Drosophila melanogaster: one gene and its partners. The gene in region 3 interacts genetically with the main gene of each other region. Each region holds a gene or a part of one and is shown on either strand. Other genes may lie near its edges.

What was found.
Region 1: of hh (region 3) and smo, changing one enhances a phenotype caused by changing the other (phenotypic enhancement), as found in Drosophila melanogaster (2 studies listed by BioGRID).
Region 2: of hh (region 3) and dpp, changing one suppresses a phenotype caused by changing the other (phenotypic suppression), as found in Drosophila melanogaster (2 studies listed by BioGRID).
Region 4: of hh (region 3) and Gprk2, changing one enhances a phenotype caused by changing the other (phenotypic enhancement), as found in Drosophila melanogaster (one study listed by BioGRID).

Annotation. Positions count from the first base shown.
Region 1 is NT_033779.5:275,617-283,273, reverse strand, and holds smo (smoothened), read right to left. Parts: upstream 5,693-7,657; 5' UTR 5,449-5,692; coding exon 5,411-5,448; exon of another isoform or gene 5,345-5,410; coding exon 4,951-5,344; intron 4,632-4,950; coding exon 4,150-4,631; intron 4,090-4,149; coding exon 3,469-4,089; intron 3,405-3,468; coding exon 3,234-3,404; intron 3,165-3,233; coding exon 1,760-3,164; 3' UTR 1,107-1,759; downstream 1-1,106. Other genes in the region: CG11601 (uncharacterized protein), read left to right, coding at 127-620, 769-1,102; CG17078 (uncharacterized protein), read left to right, coding at 6,132-6,315, 6,371-6,535, 6,777-7,657. UniProt on the Drosophila melanogaster protein: Segment polarity protein required for correct patterning of every segment. G protein-coupled receptor which associates with the patched protein (ptc) to transduce the hedgehog (hh) signal through the activation of an inhibitory G-protein.
Region 2 is NT_033779.5:2,426,315-2,431,954, forward strand, and holds the start of dpp (decapentaplegic), read left to right. Parts: upstream 1-2,057; 5' UTR 2,058-2,736; intron 2,737-5,640. UniProt on the Drosophila melanogaster protein: Required during oogenesis for eggshell patterning and dorsal/ventral patterning of the embryo.
Region 3 is NT_033777.3:23,138,626-23,144,152, reverse strand, and holds the start of hh (hedgehog), read left to right. Parts: upstream 1-2,246; 5' UTR 2,247-2,631; coding exon 2,632-3,111; intron 3,112-5,527.
Region 4 is NT_033777.3:31,403,155-31,408,603, reverse strand, and holds the start of Gprk2 (G protein-coupled receptor kinase 2), read right to left. Parts: upstream 3,360-5,449; 5' UTR 2,648-3,359; intron 1-2,647. Other genes in the region: PNPase (polynucleotide phosphorylase), read left to right, coding at 4,047-4,192, 4,249-4,668, 4,729-5,449. UniProt on the Drosophila melanogaster protein: Specifically phosphorylates the activated forms of G protein-coupled receptors. Required during oogenesis and embryogenesis; component of a signaling pathway that functions during egg chamber maturation.

The DNA of each region.
Region 1 (7,657 bases), on a different chromosome or scaffold from region 3:
TAGCTTAAAAACGCCTCCTTGCTGGAATGAAACTCGACGTGTGTTGCGCCCTAATCAGCTGTTGGCTAGCTTTATTTGTTTTGTTTTGCTCAGCGTGCGGTGCCCTTTGCACCTTTTCTGGAGGAAATGGGCAAGAGCAAGAAGCAGGTGCGCGAGTTCAACGCCGCCAAGGAAGCTGTCGAGGCCACTAAAGCCCAGTTGAACACTTGCAACGATGCCTATACGAGCGGTGCCTTCAAATACCTGAGATTCCTGGTCCATCTCCTGGCGGCAGCGCAGTTTTCGTATGGGATATACTTTCACTACTTCCGGGTGCATTGGCCCACGGATTTGCTAGACGAGGATGAACTGAAGGCGCGGTGGGGCGGCAAGTTCAAGTACCTTACCTTCTTGGACGTCATTCTACAGGCCATCTACCACTCATTGGCTCTGCTGAACGATCTCTTCGGCGATAACAATGTCTCCGGGGATTCAAAATCCATGTTGCGATCGGTGAGGGACTATGTGTTCGCCGCCTTTGCCTTTCCTGTCGCCCACAATGTCTGCCTCTCGTTTTGGGTCATCTACGTGTGGGACCGTGAGCTCATCTTTCCCTCAGCGCTGGATGCGATTTTCCCCAGGCAAGTGTTTATGTTTTTCCGCCGGTTTAACTTGCGTACAATGCACAATGTTAGTCTGCTGGAGTCTCTTTTGTTTCGAGCCTGTCTAAACTTTCTGTTCATCAGGCGAGGCGAGTTTTGATTTACCTGTGTTTCTCAATATTTGCAGCTGGTTGAATCACGTGGTACACACGAATGTGGCCCTTTTGGCCATTATGGACCTGTTTACCTGCTTCCGCCGCTATCCGAGTCGATTGGCAGGCATCACGGGCAACGTCTCCTTCATCCTGCTTTACATCATCTGGCTGCACATTGTTCGCTACTTCAGTGGCGAGTGGGTGTATCCCATTCTGGAAGTGCTGCCCGCATACCTGCGCTACGTGTTCTTGGCACTACTTGTGGGGTTCAACCTGGTTTGCTATCTGCTCGGGGAGTTCGCCAACAACGTCGTTTGGGGTCCGGAGTTTAAGCTCCTAAATCAACAGAAATTAAAGCAAGGCTAGGACTCGAGGATTTAAAATCGTTTATTAGTTACACAAATTATTATGTATAATTTTGTAAACTTGAAGGCACTTTCTGAGGTACGATTTGTGTGCCCAAGAGGCTTATTTATATCGTACTTAAATCTATAATCTACAATCTAAAGTCCTGTACCCACGGCAAAGAAAAATAATGAAAATAAATTATTATCCTCTTTGGCATTTACTTTGGCGTGAGTACCAGGATTAAGGAAACAGTCATTCACAAACGTACACAGAGATTCGAATGCTTACAAGCTAGATGGGGTGATGAATCTGTAAAATAAAGTTGCAGCCTAATGACTATGAGTATTCGTAATTCGTAGTTCTAGTTTCGCTCAGTCTGTTCCAGTAATCGATTAAGAAGAATCTAAATGTTCATCGCATGTAAACTGCTCTGGCTTGTGTACTACAATTTCGTATTTGTTTGTTTTAAATATCATTTGGGTTTCCAATTCTAGTGAAGCGATATATTCTTATAAATCGTTGAACAGTGAACATAACAATATTACGATTTCGTAAAATAGATAAGATTGTACGATTATTTTCAGCGCTAACAATTTGATTTCTTAGAACAAAAACTACAATATTGTAAGAGTTTTTGAACCTTAAGTAAATGCATCAATTGCTTATTTAGTCTTGCTATTTTGAAGGCAGCAATAACATTTTGAGTTTGTCCGACTCGCTCATAAACGTGGGCTCCCTTTGATGCCGATGGGAATGACCCAACAAGCCCTGCAGCTCCGTTCCTCCGAAATCCTCATTGGCTGCTTCAGTTCTTTGTCTGCTGGCTGCGTTTAGGAGTCGCATGGCCTGCTGCAGTTCGTCTTCTCCGTAACTGGGAACTAGCTCGAAAGGATTAGCCTGTATGCCCACATCGCAGCTGGTTTTGCTGTTTCTACTATGTGGTTTGCCCATGGATATTCCAGAAAAAGAGCTGTTAAGAAGGCTTCCTACGTCCAAAGCCACATCCAGCTCTTCAGAGGAGCAGCTAAGTGAGTCATTAGACCGATACTTTACACAGTCCTTCCTGAAATCTAGATCAGCAGCAGGGTTCTTGAGATGTCTCTTTTGGGACTTTTTTGACTGACTTCTTGCGGAATTTCGGGAATGTCGGTTAGAATTGGATTCATTAGATTTTTTTATGTTTTTAAGAAAGTTCTCCAATGCCACCTGTTTGCTATTTGGCAGTTCTTCAATCTTTATTCCGTCGTGATCATCCTCACTTATTTCCTGCTGCTTTACAACCACGTTAAGATCCTGAATCTTTTGGGATGCTCTGGAATTATCCTCCTCCGAACTAGAGCTCATATCTTGATTTTGGAGGAATGGGAATATAAAATCGCCATTTTTCTGCAGGAATTCATTAAGAATAGAGGGATCCAATCCGGCATTAGCAGTCCTTCGCTTCATGGAGCTGGTGTAATTGTGTTGTTTCTTGGAGCTGTGATGAGCAAACACGCCCACTTTGTGACTAGCATTGGGATAGGTCGTTTTCTTGAGCGCGATGACCTGCGACTCCACTGAAGTACTGCTTTCCCTTCTCCTACTGCTTTTTCCAGTGGCAGCTGCTATATAATCCCTTCTCCTTTGGGTTCTTCTGTTGCTGGAAGAGCCTCCGTGTTTTCCCCTTGATCTGGACGCCACTTTGGTCTTCATTTCAGCTATTTTCACTGATACCTGCGAGTCCACCGAATTTCTGCGGGATTCAACGGAAACATGTCGAACACTCACACTTATCTCGGAATCCAATGAATTTTTTCGCGGTCCATGGCTTGACGAGTTACCTGTCGCTGCTCCCGTCAAAGCCATGCGACGTTTTACGCACTGCGGGAGGTATGCAGCCCAAGTTGATGAGATGTCATTCGTCTCAGAAGAGTTCAGATCGTTCACATCGAAGTTGAGCCCCACGGGATCTGTGTGGGTGTTGTAGAGCGTTATGGAGAGCCTGCCCTTGTCCTCGAAATCCTTGCGCTTGGCCCATGTCTGGGCAATGACCTTGTGCTTCGGCATTTTCACTTCTTCGACCACCTCTTTGCCACACTTTCTGCAAAGGTTATAAAATCGATAGTACAGATAACTTTAATGCAACTTTTGGTAGGATGGTAAAACATACTTCCTTATATAACGCTTCCAAGTCTCAATTGAAGAAGGTGTCCAGCACCAGGTGGACATTACGATTCCAGAGCTAAATAGACACAGCAAATGCAATTGAAGAACGCCAACACTAGGTCGGTTTTCAATTCGACAGGAACTCTTTTCTTCAAAAACTGAAGAAATTTTGCAGCTAAACAAAAGAATTATCTAGTTGAGGCGTATGGAAAAAGTTATAAACGAGTATTTACACTTACATTATAAACTGTCTGAAGCTCTGGGCCCATTCGTCTGCATGCCTAAACTCCGTAACGTGGCACGCAATGGCCACTAGTATGAAAACTAAAGTGAGCAGAGCACAGACTCCCATGCGCATGATGATCAAATGGATTTTGTTGCTCGCCGAAGTTGATTTAATGTCATTAGCGAAGTGTTTCAGTCCAAAAAGCATCACCATGCCGCGGGTGATGAAGTATCCACCAATGAGGATGACCCCGCAGAGCGGACCAAGAAGTAGTCCTGCCCTCATAGAATGATTGATATAGCCTACGAAGCAGATGCCCACAATACTATTTCCATCCACCTCACTGAAAGCCATCGTGGTAATGGTAAGCACAAGGGGTAGTGACCACGCCACGAGGTGAAAGTAGGAACCTTTCTTATCTATCCGATCTTGGACGTGGCCCATGGCCCTCCAATGCCAGGCGTAGGTGAGGAACACAAACCAAACCATTCCAGCGGTGAGAAAATAATAGACCAGCACAAAGATCACTATGCAAGAAAGATTTTCACCGGCTGTAGGCTCTGAGTGGCGAAGTGTTCCATCCTTACGACATACTATGTCCTCTCGCGAGCCAGAAGTAAACTGAAGCAACCAGCTGCATAGTAAATACGTGGTTGATTAAGAATACAAATGCAAAATAGTGCTCAAAACTTACCCGACGCAAGCAATTAGAAAGCAAAGATTTATGTAGAACACAATTACTGCCGGATACTTGTTGGCATTCTTCCAGTCGATGAAGAAGGTGGACACCACGAAAAGGTTAGACAGAAGACATATGCTGCCAGCCCATCCGATCAGTTTGTGGATCTGCCGATGCTCATCATCGGTATAGAGTGGATCCTTGCATCGCACGCCGCAGCCCTCGATGCCAGGATAATAGCTGGCTGACGTATCTGTCGGAACCAAAGGACTTAAACACTGGCCAGTTCCGTTGAATTTCATTCCTCGTGCTCCGTTTGTGCATTTCGTCGGAAAGAGTGTTTCGTTGCAGCGAAGGAATTTTGGGAAAAACGTCGTGTTGTACAAAATGCGACAGGGTTCCATGGTAATTCGGCACATCTCGTAAGATGGCAGGTAGACCATGTCCTCGCCGTTGATTTTTTCACACTTCGGCTTAAAGACGGCGCACAAAAAGGGCTATAAACATGTAAAAATGGGTGTGTTGAGCTAATCCGGAATATTGAAGAAATGGATTTGAAATACTATAATATCTACAGAAAACCTTGAGCCACAACTGAATATGTATATATATCTGAATCTTCCCAAGATAAAGCAATTCACATATTACTTTCACTGCTTGAACACAAAGCGTAATTAAGTAATCACAGTTGTGCGCTTAACTTGTTTCTAATGCACCTCCTTATCAGAAAATAATGCGACAATCTGTATTTTCATACAGACTCGGCCCCACCTTTTGAAATCATTAGGTACATTAGATGTTATTAAGATTCCTCACCTGTATAGCTGCCCAACATTTGGGCACGTGCTTCAGGGCATAGTAGTCGTTCAGCTTATCGTTCAGCTCCTTTTCGGTGTGGAAGTCGGTGAGATCTAGGCTGCTCAGCTCATAGGGCAATTTTGAGCCGAAACAGGTGTTGGTTGCGTTCGAGGTGGGGTAGCAACGGGCACGTCGGACACACTGGATGTGCCTGCTGTCTAGGCCATCAAACCAGGGTTTGTCGTCCCTGCCCTTCTTGGCGTACAGTCGGTAATTGAGAGTCCCATTGATGGGCTCCAGTTCCACATCCGACTGCTGCGCACTTGCGGGCGTTGTGCTGCCGAACTTGGCCGAACTGGCCGATGCGTCTGCGACCACCCACAGGCATAAGATCGCAACCTCCAGGAACATCCTGCGGTTTGTAAATAACCAAGTTATTTTAATTGCCCACACCATTTGCCAGAGGCGAGTCACTCACATAATGTTTGGCATGCGCGGAAAGTTTAAGTACTGCATCCGCTTATAAAAATCATTAAATAGCTGCCTTGTGTGAATTTTAATGGGCTGAATGCCCGTTTCTTGCTCAGCGGTTCGTCAGTGCATCGTGAAGGCGCTTTCGTTGGACTCGGGATATCCTGGTTTAATTGTTCCCTTTGAAGGATTGCAGTGTTTTTAAAAAAGAGAAAAAAAAAACAAGAACCAAGGAGGAAAACAAAAATAAACGCGACTCAACGTGAAGCTGAAGCAACAAATGTGCGACCATTCAGGGCCAGTTTAAATATACCCATGTTATCGGTCAGCGAGATTTGCATGTTATCGGTCGGCATCGGTTATTATCGGTCATAGCTGCAACAAGTCGAATGATATGCAAACAAATCGGATTTATTTTGTTCGATCGTAACATAAGATAACATCAACATAAAATAAGAAATATGATCATATGTAGAAATGCATCAGCAAACGAAAAAGGTGTTCCCCGCAACATTTTGACTATATGGCAATGCTGGCCGCTGGCTTATTTATTTATGCCATGCGCTCGACGGTCACACTGGGTGCGGAGTATCGATAACACCGCGATAGTAGCGCACCAAGCATCGATGTAGTTTTTACATCCCTATTCTGCAATATTATTTCACGGCACGGTCCAAAAACACGGATAACAGGGCTTGGTTGGAGTCGCGCAAACGCAAATAGAAGCCATGGACGTTGCCCCCGCACCGCCCGCCAGTTCCGGCGGCGATCATAGCACCCAGCAGGCGCCGATCAGTCCGAATCAAAATGCAAACCAAGCGCCGGTCGCACTCGCAAAGGCAACAACAATCGAAAATGGTGTACAAACAGGAGGAGCGAAAAAGCCAGAGAGCTGCGGTGAGAAAGCCCCCGGTTAGCAAACTTGCTCGAAGCTAGTCTAGTTTCCTGGTTAACGTTTACCTTTTAGCCGTAGAGCCGACACATTCCACTGATGCTAGCCAGAAGGACGACGACGAGGGCAAGCCGAAGACCGAGCTGGCTGACAAAGTATTGATTACCATATGCAGCGCCGATCGCAAGATCAAGAAGACCTTCATGTCGTTGCCCACTCGAAAGGATGTAATCGACAAAGGTAAGGAACGTCCGACGAATTGGGTATCTATTCATCCAGTATTCCGAATGAACGTTGCCCAGTTGGAAGTTATTAACCAGTAGACAGTCTTTAATAAGAATCTATTGGGTTTAAGCTTAGAGCATTTCTGCATTTAAAAATATAAATTTGATCAATGGGTGATATATTTATCTAGGATAGAAATTAAATAATTGTACATATTTTATTTAATTTATATCAATAATATATTTGTATTCGGTAGCTCACAAATACGGCCTGTGCGGCAACACAATTGTCCTGGAGAGCAACGGCTGCGAGATCTGCGAGGACGACGTGCTCTTGTTCGCTGCCAAGGAGAAGATTCTGTTGATGCTCCTCGCCGAGTCGGAGGAGTATGTGGTGCTTCCTCCGCCATCGCCCCTCAACCGATCCGAACGCGCCGGCAGCTCGGTGGATCCCAGCTTCTATGCCAACAACAGTATTGTGTCGAACCCGAACGATTCGACGGTCTCTAATGACGAAACCATGTCACTGTCCAGCGTAACGCCATCAAGTGCAAAGAGTTCTGCTCTATTCAAGGAGTTCTCGATACCCTGGAGCAAGGTGCCTGGGGACATAATGAAACTACTAAAGGGAAAGGGGAGTTTGGGCAAGCGGTTGAATACACTTGCGAATGTTTTGGTGGAGGCTCTCCGTGAAATATCCGCCCACATTCCCATACGGATTTTCCGGCAGGTCGCCCAACAGGCGGCTGAAAAGTACCCCGACTCCTTACTCGAAAAAGACCGCGAGGGACAGTTTATAGCCACCACTCCGCAATCGCTCATATCCAAGATGATCAACCGTAACAATGCCCTAAACAAACCCCAGAAACGCGGCAGCTCGGGAACCTTTGAGATCCACATCCCTAATAAAAAACGAAAATTCGGAGGTGGTGCTTCCAATGGTGATGCAAAATCGCTGGCTCTTAACAGGGATCTGGAGCACAAAAAGGAGTTACTAATCTCCAGCTACCGAGGCAGTTCCCCACTGGAACAGTCCGTCATAATCGAATATATGAAAGAGTGCTTTCCGTTGCAGCGCTCCTTTTTTAATAACAGCGAAAAGATCCCAGATATAACGGCCATTAAGGACAATTGGCCA
Region 2 (5,640 bases), on a different chromosome or scaffold from region 3:
TAAACGCACTAAAAATCAAGTCTTCACCTTTATTACCGCATCGAAGTGCCAGCGTTATGGCAATTCGAAAAAGAATAGGAAGCGATCGTTACTTATAGAAAATATAGATAAATAAATGTGCAAAACGCCAATCGATTGGCGTACATTTCATGGCGTTTACCTGATTGTTGTGGCCAGCCCACAGTTAACTTAATTGCCACTTCCCAAGCGCTTTATTTACGGAAATACTGACGGCTAAGCGACTATTTTACACGCAGAGAAATGAAGTGCAATTTAGCTAATCAGGTAATAGGCAGGCATTTTTACAAAGTGCGTACTTGTTTCCCATAATCTTTCGTTATGTTGTAAGGATGTTATTCCTTACTTTACAACATTTTCATTACATAATGGAATTGTAATTGATTTGAATATCTATATTTCTCTGGGTGCATCGACTGTGTGAAAGTGTTGTCAATGCTGCCGCTTGGCCATAGCCTACAATCGCGATTGGCTGATCGAGTTGGAAAGGAAAATAGCAAGAAATCATAATAACAACAACTAAAATTTTCCATAACCTTAAAAAATAGAAAAAAAATGAGGCAGCTATTTATAAAATGCGCAATCTGCGAGATGCGTGCGGCAATCTGTCCGTCGGTCCGCCGATGCCGCCAGCTGTGTGCCAAGATGCCGCTGGCCCCCCGAAGTCCCCTCTGTGGAGCCCCCGTTGGATCCCCCCTTGGAGCCCCCCGCCGCACTGCGCTGTGTTGTCTGCGTTTATTGATTTATTAGAAAATTCCAATGAACAAGTTTTAATACACGACACACGGCGAACGATGAAGTCGATGTTGTCAGCGTGCTTGTTGTGCTTTTTCTGCTCCTTGGCTGCTTGTTTTGTTGCACTTGTGTTCCTGAGGCAAGCACAATATACGGGAAGAAAGGCTGTGGGAAAGAGACAGAACAGCCGCTGGTAAAAGTAACAAGTGCAATATTTTAATTACATCAGCGGCAAGAACAACAACCAGATCAGCGGCATCAATTGAGTTTGCTGCATGGATTTTGGGCAGCTAGCGTTGCCAGATGGGCACACGAGGCGTATGATTGATATGGTGAGTAAGGCTTGGGGAATCATAGTATCAAGGCCTAAATAACAAATAAAACATTTTGAAGGACAAACAAAATTTTTAAAAATATTAAATAGATCGATGAGTCAAACGGAGCTCATGTGTGTGTTATCTGCAGAGCCTGACTTTTGTGCTTCGATTTCATTAAACTCTCACTTTGGCATATCTCAAAACGATCTAGCTCCTATAACTCGAACAAGCCGAACAATCCGGCAACGCCGATCGACTCGAAAGATTGTCTGCTCGGGACTCTAAGCATTTTGCAATCAATTTAGATTTGCATTAGCAGCGCTGCAGTCTCGAGAAGTCCGCGACTTAGTCCGAGATTTAGAGCCAAAAATAAACCGAACCAGTTGCGGCAGCGCCGAAAAGTCAAATGTGTAACAGCTCTGTGGCTTTGGCTCGAAGAGAGACTTGAAGAAAGTCAAGATATCGCAGCTGAGACAGAAGACAGAAGACTGAACACTAAAGACTGAGGACCGAAGACTCTGTGTTGACTGTAGACTGTGGACCGGAGACTGTGGACTGAAGACGGCGACTGAGAGAGCTGAAATATTGTAATTGTGAGTCTGGCTTGTTTGTTATTGTTGCCTTAGCGGTTGCTTGTTGTTTTTTTGGCTTGATTAATAATTAATCGCACTCGCACACACACACACACACACACATACTGCCTGTTTTAATTACTCAACTTAAATGGCGCTTTGAGCGACTTAAGCAACTTGCCATCGTGGTCGGCAGTGTGTGTGCGATTGACTCTCACTACTACGAGCTCAAAACTAACTAACTAGCTTGTGTTGCTGTTGCTGCTTGTGTTGCTGTTGCTGCTGTGCTGTGCTTTGCTTTGATGTTGCTGTTGCTGCTGCTCGGCTCTGCTTCTGCTTTTGCTTTTGCTGCTCCGTCTCCGGATCGCTTTTGCCTGCCTGCCTGTTTGCCTTGCCTCGGCCGCTTTGGACGCTCATTCAGTTTTTTGCGCTCAACGCTCGTTGTACGGAACCGAAAAACGCGTTCGTTCGTCCACAGAGTGTCGCCAAATCGAGGCGAAAGATCGCTGGTTACAACCGAATATACAGCCTCTAATCACTTTTTTTCTGCTCTGTAATCGTTCGCGGTTTCTGCGGCCATAAAATAAAGTAAATCCGAGTTAAACGCTGATAGTCGCGCCTGAAGAACCACAGAAAAAACAGAAAATATCTCCCGTCGTTTCTCGTTCTCGTTTCCGCGATCGCTCGTCAGCCAGCCAAAGCCTCTCCGATTTTTGATACCGATTCGGTATCAGATAATATATTCGTAACCATCGCCATTCTTGCGAGTGTGCCAGTGTGAGTGAGTGATGTGTCTGTGTGCCAAATCCAAATCGAAAATAGCCAAAGTCTGAGCTTGGCCACCATCGTCAGCAGCAAACATGTGAAGTGCCAGTGATTTCCATAAGCCAAAATCGAAGTCGAAGTCGAATCGAATCGAATCGAAGCCACAGCGAGATAGATAGGTCGAAAGTATTTGAGTGGATATCCGAGTCGAACCAGTGTATAATGTATGCGACGTTCGCGAACTGCCAGAATTGGTTGTTGTTGCAGTTGCAGCCAAAGGATTTGTGGATTTTGGAGCGTAACTGAGCGGCGTGCAGCAGGTGCACCAGGTAAGCCAAGCCGAGAGTGTTAGCAAATAATGCGCATACGCCATGGTGGCTGCGTGTCCAATTCGAGATCAATCGAATCAATTGAACGGCTGTTAAACAGCTGACTGGGAAAACTGGAACTGGGTGCAATGCGTGAGTCACATACACATATACATATGAATACAATGCATATAGACTGGCTGATTACTTATGTATATAAATGTGAAAGAAATAAATACATGTAACTCAGAAGTCAGTGGATTATTTCTGAAACAATAGCAATTGCAGTATATTATGTTCATTTTCTTCAGAGACTTTAGCACTGTTTAGATTTCTAATGATAAACTTTGCAACCATTTCACTTTTATGCATTTACATTTATGAAGACACCTAAAAAATCTATATTACTATGAGGAAATCTAGTTTGCTTTAATAAGTTTGCCAATAGATAAGTCCCTTCCGCCAACTTGATATCACTGCATAAAGTTTCGACAGATTTACGCCAGTATCCGGGGAAAAAGTGAAATTCTATCTCTGGACCCCGGACATTATCAGCAGAGACATGTGGAGATCGGGTGTCACTTGCATATTCATGGGGGCCAAGTGATGAACTGAATTAACGGCATTCCACACCAGTCACAATTAGCGGCTGACACTGACATTGGCCATGGTAAAAAACCCTTTGACCATATGCCATATACTCGTTAATTTATGACGCCATTTGGCTAATTGAATAATTATATGTGACTGGCTGGGCGTGGCTGGGCAGGGCTTGCTTCGCTTAGCTTTGCTTTGGTTTGGTTTGATCGATCACGATTGCATAAGCCATCCCACATGGGATCGGAATCAGCATCGAAATCTGAATCTAAATCTTAATCGGTATCTATATCGATTTATTCGATTTGCCTTGCTAATGCGACTGGGGGCACTAAATCAGTGTCAAAGTTCACCCCACTAGGCTCAATTAGTTTATTAACTGCGATTTGCATTTGCATTCGCAGGGCGCAGCAAGCCCGTTGGTTAGGTGGGAAATTGATAGCTTCGAAATGTGCAAAGGTACAGAAATAAAGCCCGATAACAAAACTAAGCAACCGCAGCAGCAGCAGCAGCATCAGCTACATAGAAGCAACACATCAGCAAGACAGAGCAGCAATATAATGAGATATAGCTACACAGATATAGCAACAGCTGACGATGAGACCATGAAGGTCTACCACTTTCGGAAATTCGACGAAAATGAAATAAAAATCGTGAGCACGCAATGAAGCAGCCAAGTTGAAGTTGGCTTCCACTTCCATGCCATCCCATCACCATCTCCATCTCAATCTTCATCTTGGCCTGGCAAATCACGTTGCTGATAACAACAACTGAGCAATGCGGCAATAATTTGCTGCCCATGCCCGCTTCGCCCCGCTCTCGGCCAAGTTAAGTGGCTACTGGTCATCAGCAGGCAGCAACAACTGGCTTAGGCCAACATTTTTATCAAAAGTGGTGGCATTAGCAACCGCATCCCCCCCGTTGGCCGCCGAAAGAAACTGGTCAGTCTCTGGAGGCTTGAGACTCCCAATAGTTTCACTTATTTTACACGCATTTCTTAACGATAAATAAATTCCACAAGCAGATGCGGCCAGCAACAGCGGCAACAACAACTTGGCCCGGTCAGCAACAACTTTTGCTATCACGTTTCCATGCAAACAACACACAGCCACAAAAATATTTCCATTGGTATTCGCTTGTACTTGAATTGCCCCACGAAAGATTGTGGGGGGGGGGAGGGTGTTCGAACAAGAGGCTGCAGCAGGTGGCAACTGCAACTGCAACTAATGCTTCAGGTGCTTTTGGCCCGGACTTTGCACCTCAGTCTACCGTTTGGGCCATTCCGATGCCAGATTTCCGCCTGATGTGGCGCCTCAAGGCAGCCGAGAACGATATCCGATATCGCTGGCTGCTGCTCGATGGGTTTATGGTTTATGGGATACACCTTGACTGGAAAACCAATTGGATTGCACAAGAAGTGTGATTTGATAGGTGCAAACTTAAATTATAATTATGTGTTATTATATCATAATCATAGCAAGAAACGCTAGCTAACAATTCCAATATGTATCAATATTCTGACTATGTCAACTATCTAATAATATTAGTTTACATTTTTATTTAAAAGTCGAGCGAGCCCAGCTCAATCACCTGCTAAACTTCTATGCTAAACGAAGATGAATGAACTTAGCTTCAAGGTGGCCAAACGAAACGACACGATTTGGCAACGATCTTCTGTCTTCTGTCTGTCAAATCGAGAACTGATCAATTTTGCTTTTTATTTTATAAATTCTCTCTCGAAAATATATTGTATAAGGTCATCTTCTTCGAGAACCCGACCATACTGGTTTTTTTTTCGGTCCAGAAGATGCCAAGCGCCGTAGTTTCACTCGGCGTTCAACGCGGCGTATGCCTAATATGCGAACTTGAGTTACTTTTCCAATTCACTTTTGCCCCGGCCTTTCTCGCCGCCCCGGCGATTCGCCCAAATAACGCCATCGGTATCGGTATCAATTTCAATTTCGCAGATATACATTTATTGCATATGATTTATCATGTCTGACACTTGGGCCAGACCACTTGTCAAATGGGAAATAGCCACGACAACATGCTGTGATTTTAGATAAATTCATAACTCAGCCCAACTTGTCTTGCCTTCAAAGTTCAAATCACTTGGCGCTCTCACATGGGCCACATATATATATACACACACACATACGCATATTTCATGCTAATTATTTATTTATGAGTTATTTTTATTCGATAAGCCTCAAATGGAGGGACACCATTTACATTTACAGTTATGCGTCGAACATACATATTTTCCGTTTGTTTTTTCAGTTTGAATTTAATTTTCCCACTTATTCCACTGGCCATTTCAAAGGCAGC
Region 3 (5,527 bases):
TAATGTTTTGACATTAAGAACTGCTTTTTTACATTTTTCACCGTGCAGCATTACAGGTTGCCATTAAAATTCAATTTCGACTTATAGCTGTTGTCCCATTAATATTCACATAAATCAAAGCTGGACCAAATCTAATTACAGAAACTAATCTGCGGCTTTTTATCTCGAAGGGCCTGGAAAGGCATTTTTTGTTAGTTTATTTATTTAGTGTTCTTTTTTTTTTGTTTTAACTCTTTTCTGTATTTTTTGTGAGCCGTTTCGGCTAAGAGCGCGATCTATATGATCGTGATTATGAGGACCGCTGGCCGTCTCGCTTGCTCCACGGTCTGCGATGCCATTTATTCATGCTCATTAAGTGCTGGAGCGATTGTTGTTTGCCCATGGGCCCGGGATGGTCTTCGCATCTGTATCTGGCTTGTTCACGGTGTGTTGTGTGTTCATTCACAAATGAGCGCCTTAAGCAGCTCCGCCCCACAGATACAGATACAGATACAGATGCGGAGGCCCAAAGACACATTCGAAACTCACACAGATACACACAGCGACGAACGTAATGAGTTCGGTGCGCACACAAAGAAGGCAGAAATTTATGTGGCAGCCACATAGACTCTCGCACACACACTCGAATGCCCGATGGCCCAGCATCCAAGACTCGTATATTCCATACCCCCTTCCATTTCAGCTTCTTCATCTTTAATTTGGTTCCGTGTATCTTGTTGATGGCGTTTTGCCTTCTCTTATATCTTTTGCCGCCACGACCAGCTATTGTATTTCTCCTCTTTCGATTCGTTTTATTTTTTTTCTTCGATTCATTTCGTTTTTTGTCGAAATTATTATGCTATGCCTTGCATTCCAGAGCGTTACCAAAAAAAAAAAAAATGCTATGCCCCCCCATGGAATCCGTTACATGAGCAGGTGCACCTTGGCCCTTGGTTCTACCCCGTTGGAAAGTGACAATTTCTTGGGCACACATTGACGGGCGTATTCCACAATTCGCGCTTGCCAAGTGACAGTGCAAATAGACCTGGTGCAACCGCAAAAAAATAAATAAGGTCTGGAAAAAGAGCCAAAACAAAAGATTAGCGCTTGCCACAGATCCAAGTTCTGAAAGTGCGAAAAAGCTAAAAAGTTAAATTGGAGATTTCCCAGTTGTGGGGAATTTTATATTAGCCAAAGTCAACAGAGATAAAACTGGAAATTTATTGATTTCCAGAGTGCGGCATCAATCCGCAACTTAGTTATTTGCTGTGCATAAATATAAGGTACCTAATTGCAAATTGTATTTGCCAAAATCGTTATCGGTTTTTGCAATATATATAGACATATTTGCGATTATTGACATGGCGTTGAACGGAACCTCTGGCGGAGAAGGAAATTGTTAAATTGACCAGTAATTTGTAGGTCCTAAGGCGATATCTAATCGGAACATGACCACTACCTGAGGGGCATATGAATGACTCACTGGGTGACATAAGCTCGGAGCCTTCGATGATCATAAAGTACTTTAGTTTTAAGCACTTTTTCCGTTCCTTGAAGACTGGCAAACGGAAGCAGCATTGAACCCATATGTACTCCACATATCATACCATATACAATATACATATATATGTATGTATATATATAAGGCTGCCCAGGAGTCACACAATACACAAAAAACCGGAACATTATTAATTTACAAGCAATAAAGCGAAACGAACAACAAAACGAAGAAAGGCAACGGAAAAAAGTGAACAATGGCCTGCGATGGAGGAGTTGCAGGGCCAGAAGCGGCTAACAAGCCACAAGACTCGAGTCGAGTCGAGTCCGAGTAGTGCAAGTGTTAAGAGAAATTGCAGTTGCAGTCGAGGATGCTGCAGCTCTTCTGCGCCAGCAACGCACACTATCACACATCCAATTGGCAACAGGCACACACTTTCATCCATGGCCATAATGGACCGCAGCACACTATGCCAATGCCATCCAACATCTGTTGCCAACATTGCTTGTACATAAGAGCCGAAGACTCAGGCACTAACACATGCAAACCAGTCTTGTGAGTATGCTGCATCATCTGGTTGTCCCGCTTCCACTTCCCTTGCGCATAAGGCAGCATAAAAATGAACACCACAGCCGATCGAACGTCGAGTGGCATACGCATACAATCACAACGCGGAATGAACTCGAGGCGATAGTGTGTGTGTGCGTGTGTGTTTGTGTGAGCTAAAAGGCCTAGGGTTCTTGAAAGCACCCTCGTCGTACTCGTACTTATACTCGCATTCGTATTCGCTGCCGTACTCGTACTCGCACTCGAACACTCTGCGCGCACGATACTCCGCTCGGAAATGTCATTTGTCAATCACAGTGCGAGCGCAACGGTTGTCCGAACCGAGAGCTAACTGCCAGTTCAGCGGAGAACAGTTAAGACCGTAGTTAAGTCAGTTAGGACCTGCGATTTCGCCGACTCAAGTATTTCGATTTAGCCAGTTTAAATCCAAATAATACCATAAATCTGAATAACAAACGTGTCGCCAAATAAGCGTGTCTGTGTGCCAAAAGTGAAGTGCTAAATAACCAAAAAAATAAATAAAAAAAATTAAAGGAGATACAAAATCCAATCAAGAGAAACAGCAAACAACGAGTCTTAGATAAATCATGGATAACCACAGCTCAGTGCCTTGGGCCAGTGCCGCCAGTGTCACCTGTCTCTCCCTGGATGCCAAATGCCACAGTTCCAGTTCCAGTTCCAGCTCCAAATCCGCAGCGAGCTCCATCTCCGCAATCCCGCAAGAAGAAACGCAAACGATGCGCCACATTGCGCATACGCAGCGTTGCCTCAGCAGGCTGACCTCTCTGGTGGCCCTGCTGCTGATCGTCTTGCCGATGGTCTTTAGCCCGGCTCACAGCTGCGGTCCTGGCCGAGGATTGGGTCGTCATAGGGCGCGCAACCTGTATCCGCTGGTCCTCAAGCAGACAATTCCCAATCTATCCGAGTACACGAACAGCGCCTCCGGACCTCTGGAGGGTGTGATCCGTCGGGACTCGCCCAAATTCAAGGACCTCGTGCCCAACTACAACAGGGACATCCTTTTCCGCGACGAGGAAGGCACCGGAGCGGATCGCTTGATGAGCAAGGTAAGGAAAACCCTCAAACACCGTAAGCTAGTAACAAAATTTGTAATACATCATTGGGAAAGTTTCGCTTATCGGAATCATTGTGACAAAGTGACTTAAAAATTATTTGTAAAAACCGAAATATTGACTTATTAATCACGATTAATCAGAAATTACTTAACATTTAGTATTGTTAGCAACACAAATGAAGTGAAAACCCAGTCTTACGCCAAATAAATGACTAATTCTAGGAAAAAATGTGAGATAACTCTACCAAACGGAACTTGTAATGCTTTAATAGTACACTTAATATTTGGTCTAGGTATTATTTTGTGATAAAAGTAAGCCTACTTTGATATAGGAACACAATGAAATGCCTGTTAAATCTGAGGTATGGAGGTCAAACACACCATTTAGATGAGATTTTATTGCTGATATTGTTCCGAATTCGTCTTCTATATCAGACAGCTGGGTTCCGATTTGCGGCTAGGCTAATTCCGTGCTTATTGCGCACTGCACTCACATTTTGCCACCCGTCGTGGTCCGTAAATTCAATTGTCAAATTAGCGATCGCTTATCGCTCGCGCTGTTTTATAGCCCGTATCTAGCGATCGCCCGATGGCACGAGATTGTGCCACTCGGTTCCCATTGATAAACGCTACGTGGCGGAAAAGTGCCCAATCATTGATCGAGCATTGGCTATTTCACCAACTTTATGGTGGCGATGGCTGCCATAAAACTGGGCTGAAATATAGTATTAGTTTTGAGCATTGGCCATTTATATGATTAATTATGCATCTTATCGCCGCACTGCACTTGTTTCGCAAGTGCAAAAAAACAGGAAGCCCGATACTCGACGGCTGAACGGTAGATAGCGCCTGAATTCCATCGAACTAAGCCATAAAGCTGCAAAGCGTCCCGAAATCCAAACAAACCGAGCGAACGCGTTCAACAACCTCGAGCCCAATCGATCCCCGGGTCATCATTGCAAATACATAGTTTACTCAACATTGTGTGTACGCTTCGCAAATGCGTTTTCGATTTCGCGCTGAACAACAAACAGGGTATCGAATGCGGGAGATTACAAGTCCCGGTATTTATCAGGTTTTACTCAGCCAAAACCACCGCCCACCGCCCACCGCCCACCCTGTCCGCGCCCCAAAAGTGGAGGCACGCGAGCATTTGCCGCTTATCACCGGCGATTGTCTGATAAGCGGACTGCAGCCAAGTAGTTCGTTTGCCAATACACGGTTACTATCCCCCCAGATAGTCACCCTATATTTGCCAACATGTGTAGCTACATGCTGGCACTGAAAGAAATTGGGTTCGCTTGGCATAATACTATATGCTTGCCACTTTATGGTTTATGCTAAAAGAGGTATATGATGGTTTTTATGTGTGAAATAAAATGTGAAAATTAGTTTAGGTGCAAGTTATACGTTATACGTTATACGTTGCTAGTTGCGCTATATCGGTGCCAGAACAAAATGTGTGCTAAGATACCAGCTAAGGCGAAGAACAGCAGTATCTTATCGCCATAAAAAAAAAGGGGCGGGGGTAGTGAAAGTGGAGTGGGTGGCGGTGGGATGACCACCCAGTTGGTGGGGGAGCGGTGGTTGAGTTTCAAAGTGCGAAACAGCTAAAACAAGTGTTCAATTCAAGCACCATGCGACAACATTTCCAATTAGCCAGCAGTTAGTGGGGTGGTTGCGTTGCGGCCAGAAGTCGGCTTAGCACAGTCAAGACCCCCTAAGAGGGCCGACATTGAAGTTGCTGATATATATAATCGGCACGCTTCCCACCAGCTTATCTTCGTGTTACTTTAATGAAATTTTAAGTGTCGATGTGTAAAAATAGCCTTGTTATTGATTAGCGCCATAAACGAGCTATTGGGCTTTTATGGCGGACTTCCAGTTTCCTTGGACGATTTGGTGCTATTGAACAACAAACTAATAATCAGAATTGTGGGAAGACAGATTACGCCTGCCAACCGACTAATATAGTTGATTTAAAGGGTTTAGTATCGCCCACACAAGTGTTACAATGACTTTCGATTTGTTGATTTATTAGTCAGTGGTTAGTGTTTCGCAAAAACGACTTAGATCTTTAAAAATCAGATTTTACTGTACTGTAAAGTTAAATCGTATTATCGAACCAGTTGTTCGCCTGCTAGAGTTTCACTTGAAAACCAATTCCAAATTGCATTTGGCAACTGCCACGCGCCCATCGGGGGATTCTAAATGGTTGCAGCCATTTCAGATGTTACCTTGAATTTGATATGCAATCAAAAGGTATCGCAGCCTTTCCAGAAACTGGCGAACAATTAACAGTTGCTCGCACGGCAGCACAAACGCAGTGACACACCGAAGGCCAAGGTCCTTCGGGCGATTGACTAAACGGCCAAGGACACTCGGCGAGCATAAAAATCCTGTTGTTC
Region 4 (5,449 bases), 8.3 Mb from region 3:
CGGATGCTAGGCACTTGGAAACGATGAGGAGCACGGAAGAGATGAATCATAAGGAATCAATTCCAGTGCCGTGGGAAGTTATGTTCATATTAGTAGGACCTAAAGGAAGGAACCTTTCACGCTGCTTGTTTTCAAAACCCATTAGGCAGATGCCTTTTCATCTATTAGAAATGAAAAGGAAAGGAACCATCATTAAGTGGCTTTTCACTCGAAGTGATTCGATTAAATTTGCATGCCCTCCGGAGATTTCGTTTGGCAACTAATGAGCCCTCCATGTGCCATCCGCCCATTGCCACTGATCCTACCCATCCCTCTTTCACTTTTCCGACATATTCCGCAAAACTTTTCTCACATTTCACTCCAACTTTTCCCACACGCACAAGGAACTCGAACTGCAAGTTCTAATTGAATTTAGTTTTATTAGGGCACATGAAAGGAAAACACAGGGCCTGGAAAAATGGAAACATTGGGAGCGCTTTCAGTTTTCATTGGCTGCCAAAGGGTGAGGAAATCTGGTTTTCTTAAGGGCAAGGCAAATCCCATATTCTCAATCAAGGAAGGCAGGATTAATTAGATTGAACGAGAAGGGAACCTTAGAGCCTCTTTGTAAAGCCCAAAGTCACAAGAAAAACAGGCACCGAAGTTGGTAAGCCGATTTTGGACCAAAAACCAGCAAGTGAACAAAAGGCGGCGACCACAAAAAATTGATTTAAGCTGATTTTCGGGCCATTTGTGTTTTTCGTTTTCTGTTGTTTTTTTTTTTCTTCTAGAGACCAACAATATTGACCGACGACCACGCCCAGTTCGGGCGGCGTGAGGGGCGTGCGGCGCAATTAATATCAATTCCCGTTGGGCCATTAACACGAGCCAAAAACATATTGGCTAACAAGTGTCAAAGTCGCGCCAAATTAGCGCAGAAGGCGACGATGATGGCATGTGGGCGTGGTCGGGATTGGAATTGGAATTGGGAAGTTCAGTGGGCTGGGTCCAAGTGCTGGCAATGATATCCTGCCAAGGGAAGAGCAGCATGTGGCCAACCCTCCTTCGCGCTCGAACTGGCGTTCGTTGTTTGGGTCCTGCCCTCATTGATAATAATATTCGATTGGGTTTTATTTGCCCATGGGGTTGGCGCTGATGGTTTATTGTTGTCTGCACGGGGCCCAGGATACCCAGGATACACATGTTTCTGCCAATTGCCTACGTCATCCTGTCGGAATGGGTTGCGGGTTCTCGGGACTCACAGCTCGCAGCTCGCAACTCGAGTCGATAAACTGTGACGCAAGCCCTCGAAACATGGAAACAATAGTTGCGACCTGACAGTTGAAAAGGGCACCCCATGGGGTCACACATCAGAGATCTTGGACTTTAACAATCACCATCTGTGTACCAGAGTAGAGGTCTTCTGTGAATGGCACATTGACTCCCATCCGCCGATGAAAAGTGGAAACGTTTATCAGCTAAACGTCCAGCTCGTCTTAATTATGCAGCCGGCGAGGCGATTCTCAAACAATCAGAGACACCCGGCTGCCGATGACGTACCACAGAAAAAAGAACTCGAAATGCAGAAGCGATAAGGAAAGTACATCGGGACATTGCGAGGGTCGCCCTTGAAAAGCGGGGGAAAGTTACGCTTTTGGGGAAAAACTATTTTTAACGACTCGCATTTGTCAGCTGCAAATGGAAACGGGAATTTATTGCCAGGCAATCACGCTGATTTATGGTGATTTCAAAATGGTTTCACTAATTGGTTTGCGTTCTTTTCCAATGTTCGTGCTATAAAAATACAGATTTTGAGTTCGAGTACCGCAAATAGTTTTCTGTTAATTTTGGAAATAGGTTTCATGAATTATGGGGAATTTTCCTGTGCATCACATCTCTGATGTTATTCCGACATTTTGCATAAAACGTACAGTATTTTGGAAGTAGTGTGCAAGTGATTAATAAATAAATATCTTGAATTAATGTTTATATCAGCTCTGAAAACTTTACGTAAATATAAAATGTATGATTTTAGAAGTCAAAATAATCAGTGAACACGCATGGCAGTGAGTCATCACTATTGTGAATGCCCAATATATTTTTGTGTGAGCAATAGATGTTACTTCCGGATATCTTGGTAAATGCAAAAATAACAAGCTGACTTATGTCTACTAAGTCATTGATAAATTGTCAGAGGTTAACTAAAAAATAAACAAATTATTAATGATCCAACAATTCCACCGATTATCTCGATAACTTTTCATTTATTTACCAACCTGCCCTCTTTAGCGGGTCAAATGATGGACGGGAACAGCGAGACAATAAATAATGAGCTATAAATATTCATATAGTGCATTGTTGGGCTGATTGCTTGCATGTGTGCATCTGTGCATGGGTATTTATGCATTTAAAAAGCAAAGAAGGAGGACCTACTGATAAGCATTTCCCGATTGCTTTCACTTTTTAATCGATTGGCGTGGGGTGACAGGGATGGCGCGAGTCCTGCGGCATTAATGCAATTAATCGCCAGGAGAGACAAGGCCAACGTGTGTGTAATTTACAGTTACCGTTAAGTGCTTAAGTGCAAAGGAGGGGAACAGCCAGTGAGTTGTGACCACCGAGGAGCAGTAGAAAATAAGGTGATTTCAAGCTGATTAATGAGACTTACCTGTTTGTTTGATGTGCTATTTAAAGCTTCACTGTGAGTTTCGGCTGGTTGGAATTTTCGCAACAAATGTGTGGGTTCTGATAAGAAAGCGGGCGTTGATAAGACGCTTTTCCTTCTCTCTCTCTCTACCACTCCTTTCGCACACCACTGCAATTGCAGCATAAACAATTTGAAAGAACAAGAAGAAGCAGCGACACGCCTAGTGGGCAATTTTCCGGCCTTTTCGTTGGGAAATCTGCGTTTTTTTGGCTTTGCGCTCTTTTTTGACTTTGCCTTTTGGCTTTGCGCAAGAATACTCTTTGATTTTTTGTTTTTCTTTTCAATTTGACCGCATTTGTCGATTTTGGTTTTCTTTTCGGTTGTTGTTGCGGCTCTCACCAAAATTCACACACACAGGCGCGCTCTCACACATGCACAGATGGGCGGGCACACAGAACACACACACGCACACTACGACACACGCGGCGTTTCGTTGACGGAAAAGATACGAAAAATACGGCGTGAAATTCCCAGCTTTTTTCGAAAAGGCTCGCAAAACAAGGGCTCGACGCTCTTGCGGTTTTCCGGTTGGAGGAGTGGCTTTTCTAAGACGACACACGACGACGTTCGCAACTGGGCTTTCTGCAAGTGCCCAAAATTAACGATGGATCCGCGAATTGCCTGCTCGAAAAATATTGGAGTCTTCTGTAAGACCGTCGTTGAGTTAGTGAAAGACGTCTTCGACTCGCGGTAAAAAACTCTAAACGCGTAAAAAGACGGACTAATTTTGGCGGACTGTGTAGTGCTGATGCCTCAGCTATTTTCTAGCTAGCTTGAATTACTTAGATCTGGCGATTTGGACATCGTCGCGTCATTCTGTTGGTCGTTTTAGGACCTTTCAGAACATACCGTCTTAATTCTTCGTTTCTGAAAAGGAATTTAAATGCTGTTTCTTGCATGCTGTAACTAACATTGCTAAGAGTTGGCAGCACTGCAAATTTGACATTATCGGGGACACAAGCTAATAGTTCATTTTCTGGGAACCCTTCTAAATATCTTATTGGAAACGAAATTAATTTTTTTAAAATACGCTGTATTAATATTTACTACATTATTCCTAAGACATAATCCGTGTAATAGTTTGTCTATATAATTCATTTGTTGTTACCCTTGCCAGGTGGCAACGCCGAACGCACACATGTTGCACACTCTACTTTGTTTTAAATGGGCATTCTAGTTTTGAGATAACTGAATTAAACAATACAAATAGTTGAGGCGCTCTAAGTCTAACTTCCAAGTCTCAAGAAACGTACAGGGCTTTTATTGTAAGATTTTGACCACTAATTATTTCTTAAATAACCATGAAAATACAGCGTACAGAACTGTCGCCTCAGCCGGAATCACCCGGCACTTTTAGGTAATGGCCATGATTTTCACACGGAAATCGCTGAAGCTGCTCAACTATCGCCTCAAATGCCTAAGTTTGTCCTGCCCAGGAGGAAGGAGAGGAATCCAAAGCAGTTCCAACGGAGAAGCGCCCTCCGTGGAAGTCAACTTCAGCAATGGGTGAGTTCGTGGCCTCCACTCCGAGTTCCAATAGCAAAGTCTTGAATCCTCCGCAGACGTAACATGACCTTCAGTTCCGGCCGCCTGGCGAGATTTGCGAATGGAACAGCTGTGTGCCAAATGGGCGATACCGCCGTCATGGTCACCGCGGTGGCCAAGGCGAAGCCAAATCCCGGCCAGGGATTCATGCCTCTGGTGGTTGACTACCGACTGAAAAACGCCGCCTCTGGCAGAATACCCATGAACTTTATGCGCCGCGAACTGGGCCCCTCGGAAAAAGAGATCCTGTCCGCCCGCCTTATCGACCGTTCGCTACGCCCGCTCTTCCACAAAGATTATCGCACGGAGACACAGCTGGTGTGCAACATGTTGGCTATGGACGCGGTGCACAGTCCGGATGTGCTTGCAATCAATGCCGCTTCCATGGCGCTATCTCTAAGTGACATTCCCTGGAATGGACCCATTGGAGCTGTGCGGTGAGTACTCACGAACGAATCTAACTGGTAACCGCTTATAACTCTTTTAATCCTACAAAGCGTTGGCCTCTGCGACGGCGAGGTGCTGATCAACCCCACGCGCCGGGAGCTGCAGACTTCGCAACTGGATTTGGTAGTCTCCGCCACCAAACAAAACCTCGTCGTTATGTTGGAGGGCAAGGGGAATGTGGTTCTTCAGCAGGACCTTCTAAAGGCTATCAAACAAGGGACTCGTGAGGCCCAATTCATTATCCACGAGATCGAGCGACTGCAGAAGGCCTATGGTCGACAGAAGCGCGAAGTGGAAGTGGCTGCCGAAGTAGATCCCGAACTGGGGAAAGCCGTTCGTAGCATGTGCGAAATGCGGCTGAGAGAGATCTTCCAGGATTCGACGCACGACAAGATGTCTCGTGACAATGCGGTTAACGAGGTGCGCTCCAACGTTATTGACAAGGTGTGGAGTTCGTTTCCGGATACCGAACCGTCGCTTATTACCGAGCAGTTCAACCAGACCAGTAGAACCATTTTTCGCGAACTGATCTTTGAGCGGGGTCTGCGTTGCGATGGACGAGATTACGACCAGCTGAGGAACATCTCCTGCCAGGTGGACATGTACAAGCCTCTCCACGGATCCGCCCTATTCCAGCGCGGTCAGACGCAGGTCTTCTGCACGGTTAGCTTGGACTCGCAGGAAAGCGCAATGAAACTTGACTCGTTGGCTGCTTTAGATAGCGGTGGCCTGAAGGCCAAGAACTTTATGCTGCACTATGAGTTCCCGCCC